Lytechinus pictus: one gene and its partner. The protein of the gene in region 2 purifies or fractionates together with the protein of the main gene of each other region. This does not show direct contact. Links are inferred from orthologs where the notes say so. Each region holds a gene or a part of one and is shown on either strand. Other genes may lie near its edges.

The links. Proteins that work in one complex are often made in the same cells at the same time.
Region 1: the proteins of SWI/SNF-related matrix-associated actin-dependent regulator of chromatin subfamily B member 1-like (region 2) and histone deacetylase complex subunit SAP18-like fractionate together in Homo sapiens (co-fractionation; 3 studies listed by BioGRID, with this or other methods). This does not show direct contact. The link is inferred for Lytechinus pictus from reciprocal best matches to the Homo sapiens genes SMARCB1 and SAP18.

What each region holds. Positions count from the first base shown.
Region 1 is NC_087248.1:29,154,319-29,158,152, forward strand, and holds the start of histone deacetylase complex subunit SAP18-like, read right to left. Parts: upstream 2,374-3,834; coding exon 2,329-2,373; intron 1,462-2,328; coding exon 1,355-1,461; intron 1-1,354. UniProt on the Homo sapiens protein: Component of the SIN3-repressing complex. Enhances the ability of SIN3-HDAC1-mediated transcriptional repression. When tethered to the promoter, it can direct the formation of a repressive complex to core histone proteins.
Region 2 is NC_087246.1:18,204,810-18,208,409, reverse strand, and holds the start of SWI/SNF-related matrix-associated actin-dependent regulator of chromatin subfamily B member 1-like, read right to left. Parts: upstream 2,466-3,600; 5' UTR 2,389-2,465; coding exon 2,302-2,388; intron 1-2,301.

The sequences.
Region 1 (3,834 bases), on a different chromosome or scaffold from region 2:
GCCAAAGTTCTTTGACCTTACATGACCTTTGACCTTGATCATGTGACCTGAAACTCGCACAGGATGTTCAGTGATACTTGATTACTATTATGTCCAAGTTTTATGAACTAGACCAACACACTTTCAAATTTATGGCTGTAATTCAACAAATACCCCAATTTGGCCAAAGTTCATTGACCCTAAATGACCTTTGACCTTGATCATGTGACCTGAAACTTGCACAGGATGTTCAGTAATACTTGATTACTATTATGTCCAAGTTTCATGAATCAGATCCATAAACTTTAAAAGTTATGATGGTAATTCAACAGATACCCCCAATTTGGCCAAAGTTCATTGACCCTAAATGACCTTTGACCTTGGTCATGTGATGTGAAACTCAAGCAGGATGTTCAGTGATACTTGATTAACCTTATGTATAAGTTTCATGAACTAGGTCCATATATTTTCTAAGTTATGATGACATTTCAAAAACTTAACCTTAGGTTAAGATTTTGATGTTGATTCCCCCAACATGGTCTAAGTTCATTGACCCTAAATGACCTTTGACCTTGGTCATGTGACATGAAACTCAGGCAGGATGTTCAGTAATACTTGATTAACCTTATGGCCAAGTTTCATGAACTAGGTCCATATACTTTCTAAGTTATGCTGTCATTTCAAAAACTTAACCTCAGGTTAAGATTTGGTGTTGACGCCGCCGCCGTCGCCGTCGGAAAAGCGGCGCCTATAGTCTCACTCTGCTATGCAGGTGAGACAAAAAACAGTAAAAGGCAAATCTTGGCAAAAGTACTCCTCAGACAATAAAAATAAGTATAAATGGTACGCGGACAAACTTTTGTGCACATGATTCCGGTGCAAAAGCACAGGACAACAATTCCCATTACCCCAATCAAACTAAGCATGATACCAGGAAAAACATTCTGTAATAGTCGCAACGAAAAAGGTGGTAGGAGAACACAACTCAAAAATGTTTGACATTCATTGGGGATATATTGGTGACACATTTGCTGTTGCGACATTTGCTCCGGATTTAATATCTCAAGGGGCATGGGTTAGAGTTTGGATTGAGTTTTTGGTTCAGAATGATGTAAATATAAGGATTAGGGTTTATTTAGTTGTTTAATTTTGATGTTTGGCTTAACGGGCAGGTTTTACTCGGATGACCGCATGTCGAAAAGCTTCAGCATGTTCCTTTTATGCTACTTTTCTATTTCCATTTATTTTTTACAGACCATAAAGCAGCATTGTTGATTATAAAATGCCTTGATCAAAGGCATATACATGTAGGTACCACGCACTTTTAAGGTGCTTCAGAGACCACTCGACCACCAAACCTCTACAACCAACTTACCATGTGTAGATCTGGAGTTCGTTGGCTGGGACTGTTCCTCGAGAAAACTCGTGTTCCTGATGGTGACGATTGTTATTACAGAACACCCTCAGAAGAAGTGGACAGGTCTAGGAAAAGGAGGAGATAAAAGAATACACCAAGAATGAAGAGTGAGGCTATTACTTTAACGGGTGTATGGAATGTTTATTTATCCAATGAGGCAATGACGTATTTTATACCTTTACACCGGATCTACTGGAAAAATACAGTTGTTTCTGCAGACAAGTTTCCAGGTCAATCTTGTATGTTGTCTTCCTATCTAGGGTATTAAATTTCTCATTCTGAGTCTGTGTGCTGTAACATGCAGTGAAAAAGGTCACTGTTCCCATGGGTGGACATAATGCAACGAAGACCAAAACTTGTCTAGCTTCGTCTTGAAGCTATTGACCGATGATGCTGTCATTTGAGTTGCACCATAGCTAAATCCCTGAGTATACAAGTAGCTCATTACGCAAGTGAGCATAGACTGAATCCAAAGCCAGTCTAACCTCCGACTTCAGATGTTCAGCAATACAATTATCAAATTTACATGATTTATCAAAACTTTATGAACTTTTGAAATGTATCAAAATAATTCATTACTGTGATTCATTATCCCCAAGAGCCTGACCCTTTCATTTTCTCACATCACCCTCAGTCACTCACAGTACCGGTAGATCCATTTGCCTGTCAAGATCGAGCTGAAAATAATACAGCCATTCCTGATCACGATGGGCCTCACTCATTCAATGATCAAGTTTATGATAATAGTTATAATAAAGCTTTTAGACTCTATACAGCGCTTTATCAATCTACGACTACTCAAAGTGATTCACAATGATATCCTTGTTCTCTGTTAGTACTCTCTGTGTGGTGAAATAAAGTTGGCAATGTTTGGCTTATTTTCTCTTGTTCTTGGGGACAAATGCTATATTTTCTGATACTATTCATCATACAACTTGGCTCTCAAAGGTCAAGTCGCAACTCAGACCCTCACGCATGCGGATGCGATGTTTTCAAATCAGCAGCGAATTATTTATAAGAGTGAGGAACTCGATGCTGGCTCTAAATAACCAATTTTGCGGCTAACAGGAGGATGGATATGGAGTGAAATTAGGATGAAAAGTAAGAAATTTAGCTTCTTATTATTTTTAAGCTCATTTCGGTGTAGGATTTTTACAAATAAACATGCATTTTCTCCCACCTTTGTCACTCAAAGTATCAGAGCGAGTTCACCACATTGAGGTTCAGGTAGATGGAGCGTAGTGTAGCGGTAGTGAAGTGGAGTGGAGCCTGCACGAACCTCACTTGAGGTAGCTGCAACCGATTATTATTTGTGCCCTTTTTATTTGGGGAATCGGAAACATGCTGAAAAAAATTCCCTGAAATTCGGCCAGTGGCAGTGCGAAACTGCTTTAGCGCCGATCAATCGCAATTAATGCGAAACAACACCCCAAGCGGAAGCCCAATGCAGCGCACTCATCCAACGTCAACGACCAACCCGTGTTTGAGACTAGTCTAACGTTAACGTTACTCGTTAGGAAGTAGGAGTCGAGTATGGCAATGAGTCCAAACTTCGCGGACGGTCATTATCTAAAAAAATAGCCAATATCCTTTAAGGAGAATGAAACCCTTGAAACAAGCTGAATCCATATCAAAGAGAAAAATCAAAGAAACATATTGTTGAAAGTTTGAGGAAGATTGAATGAATAGTAAGAAAGTTATGAGCATTTGAATAATGAGATCACTAATGCCATGTAGATCCTCCTATTGGCAATGCGACCAAGATCTGTGATGTCACACACGTACAACTCCCTCATTACTTTAGTACTTATTTCACTTATATTCTCACTTTTATAGAGTCTATCACAAGGTGAGGTGTTCTCTTTATGAGAGGACAAGTACAGAGGTTTCACAACATTATATCATTGATGAATCGTTTGTCATATGATTAGAATGAGCAAAAATAGATGTTTTGGGGTATATTTTCAGTGTCCAAAAGGGGAGAGTTGTTCATCTGTGACATCATAGATCTTGGTCGCATTTAATTGCCAATGGGAGGATCTCCATAGCATTAGTGATCTCGACATTCAAATGCTCATAACTCTTCTATTGCTAGTCCTATTTTACTCAAACTTTTGTTGATCTTATTCTTTGATTTTTCTGCTTTCACAAAAGCTAACTTGCTCCAAGAGTTTCATTCTCCTTTAAAATCTGACATCATCAACGTGAAAAGCGACCTAAAAAAATTACCTTTTGGTGTAAGTTCCTTCAGGATGAGGTCAGTATTCATGAAAATATTGACAAAAGATCAGCAAATTTGTCACCGTTAACGCCCAGTTCCGAAGAAATCTGATATCCTCAACAAGCATCACAATATCATCATTTTGCAAGCAGATATCATCAAAAATGTGAGTTCAATGTGGTACTGACTAATTACTTAGCATTTTGTCGTCAATCTG
Region 2 (3,600 bases):
TTTGTGTAGATCTATGGTGGAAGTTTGATAAATTTCAAGAAATATGATTGAATGTACTGTAGATCTATAATAGTATGACTATAAACAGTGATTGGTAGTAAATATATGATCCACTAATATACTCTAGCCTAGCCTAGGCCTACTTGATCATGCACGAAAATTTGACAGAATTCAGAATATAATTAGAGGTCTAGACTCCGACTATAGATCTAGATCTAAAGCCACATACAACTTTTCCATCCTAAATCTGGCAATCCCTGGCATAATTTCGTGAAATAGGGAACACAGCAGTGTCTTTATTCGGTCACACGCATCGGTTCTCTAACGTCACTCACACGTATTGCGAGGTTAATATACTAACCTCCCACCATGAACCGCGTTTGGCAGTGGATTTCTAACTAGTAGTGGGTCGCGCGTGCTGCGATCCCACTTCTGGCAGTAGAGGCGCACGGCCAATATGGGAGACTCTCTCCAATAGGGGAGACAATCTCCCACATTGGAGACATAAGGGCCGTCTGCACCATCCCGAGTTTTCAAATTAGCGCGCTATTTCTGATCCGGCAAATTATCCCGATCTGAAAAATCTCGAGATAGTTGGCGGTGGAGACGCAATTATCGCGCTAGTTCGTAGGATTAATCTCGAGATTGCAATCCCAAGTCAACTCGGGTTTATTTGCAAAATAGCGCGCTATTTTACGAATTATCCCGCTAATTCGTCGGTGCAGACGCACTCGAGATTGGACTCAGGGTAATTTATTCATGACGTCAGTCCATAATGCAATTCGCGTTCCACTTCCGCCTTGGTCAAAACATAAACACGTGCGAAAGTCAACTTTATACATGCGAATAGCGTTCATCAATTGCCTAATAAGCAACGATGGTGTCCCACCAGTGAATGGATTTTGGGAGAGACCAGACCGAAGGGGGAGGCGCTCATCGACGATGGTCATATTCAATAACAACACTGACAGCAGTGTTGTCTTATTCCTTCGCAAAATGTGAGCAAATAGCATTTCTTTCCTCCTTCTCTCCCTCTCTCTCTCTCTCTGTCGTTGTCTCCTACTCATATTTAACGAAGAATACATCACTTCTTCACTCGCTGGGCTGAGAGGATTGTTGCATAACACCGGTCGAATTCGGCGAAAGTGCTAGTGAAAGGAGTACATTGCTTGCATATCGCGGGAAGTTATTCAAAAGCGCGGGCCGTTGAAACTCCAAGATCCGAAAGTGCGCATGCTCGAAATATCGGGTTTGTTGCCTCGCTCGAGCAGGAATCGCTGTCTTGCGATGGTGCAGACGGGGTTTCTTGAATCTCGAGATTAATCGCGAAGTGGGCCGATCGGGCTAAAATCTCGAGATTGAGCAAACTCGGGATGGTGCAGCACCACCTTTGCTTTGCAAAAGGACAAAAGAAACAACACCAACAATAGCATGATTTTTTCCATCCAAAATTTTGTCTCACTGAGGTCAGAAGCCCATTTGTTTTGTGTGTGATTGACAACGAAAATCCTTATCAAAACAAAAGTAGACGGTGAATTTTTAAAGTAGACGGTGAAAAGGGGCAATTTTTCATGAGGAATCTCCTTAGCACATTTTTATTTGCCGCCAAGGTAATCCTTTTGCAGCAAATGTAAACAAAGGAAATTGGTCTCCAAAACTGGAGACTGTCTCTGAAATTGGATAGGGGGGGCCTACCCAAATTCTTTACAAAAGTCTCTGATATTGGAGATAATCTCCCACATTGGAGACAGTCTCCAATATTGGCTGTGCGCCTCTACTGTCTGGTGTCCACAACACACGACTTCTTATCATCTATGGCTTGATTTTTCTGTGTGCGGTGGCATGTAATAAACCCTAACGTAATCCACCTCGACTCTGCTGACTAACGTTTAACTTTAACTTTAAATAATTAATGTTAATGTTAGAACTTAAAGTGCACGCGAACAAATAAAATAATCGACGAGTGGTTCCCGAAACCACAATTTGGCCCTAATTTTTAATTTTTAATATCTTCTAGTTCAAGATCACATAATTTATTTTTTTTTGCTTTTGGTAGAGTGGGCATGTATATGAAAGTCCCCTCCCCCCCCCCCCCCCCCCCACAAAAAAAGGCAGCGCAGCCGCAGGAATTCAGCGCACAGCGAACAAAGGATTTGGCCTTTGGCTTTGGGCTGACGCCGGGCAGGGGATGCGTTCCGCGACGTGCCACACACTGCACAGACTGACTGTGTCATGTCAGCGAGTGTGTCTTTTCCTACCACTAATTTGAGGCAAAATATCAATAAAACGAATTTTACTTACTTCAGAACCAATCATATATTGCTCTCCTCCTTCTTCAAAATGGAAGACATCGGGCTTCTTCCCGTATGTTTTTAGAGGTGTCCCCATTTTGTATCCTTTTCTTTCGTACTTTCCTTTAATATCAGCGCAGCCGAATCGAAATCACGAATGTTATCGTGAATGGTATTGGCGAATTTACTTCAGCGCCGCGCCAGCAATTAAAAAGAAAAAAATTGAAGGGGGTCAGTGAAGGCCCCACACCGCGGGGCACCGAATTAATTATTTACTAGATGATAGTACCGTTTTTCCACCCTACTTGATTTTTTTCGATTCAATCAATCCAATTCAATTTCAATTTAATAGTCTACGATTTAATTATAAATGAAAAAAATATATCTTCCACTGGCTTTCTCTTTTTTTTGCGGGGGGCAGATTTTACCAGAATGAGCCACAACAAGGGCATCATTTTAGTGAAATAACGGGGCATGTGTATAACTTAGATGTGAATATTAAATCAATGAGGCTTTGGGGAGGACTGGCACTGCCATTTCAATGTGGACACTGTGAAAGTACACAAAAGCATGTATATAAAAGAGGGTTATCACAGCGAGGAATGTAACGTCATATAGTGACAAGGCCAAAATCAAGAAAAACAGTTTTCTACCCTATCATGACAGTGATATATTTCAGGCATTTTAGGATTAAAAAAAGACATGACAAAATATTTGGTTAGATATCTGATTGAGGATTATGACTTGTTCAGGGTCCATTTTGGAAGTCCATGTGTAAAAGCATATGGCATCCACTTTGATATGTCACGAGACGTATATGGTCTTCATGAGTTTACTCCAGTTTGTAAACTCACGTTTTGCTTTGTTGGTATTTGTTTGCTCTCTCCCTCTCGCTCTCCCTACCTCCCTCCCTCACCTAGGAGCGGCCTCATCTCTCTATCCCCTCTCTCTACCCTCCCCTGTTTCTCCACCTTCTATGCATGCTTCTATCATGATAGTTGAAGAAACAATGTTTGTGAGTCAATTGGACACAAGGACCTATAACACAATCAGTTTTGCGGGGCACACAACTCGAGATGTATTAAAGGACAAGTCCACCCCAACAAATAGTCCACCTGAACAAATCAAGAAAAATCCAACCAGCATAACACTGAAAATTTCATCAAAATTGGATGTAAAATAAGTTATGACATTTTAAAGTTTCACTTAATTTCACAAAACAGTTATATGCACATCATGGTTGGTATGCAAATGAGGAAACTGATGACATCATCCACTCACTGTTTCTTTTGTATTTTATTATATGAAG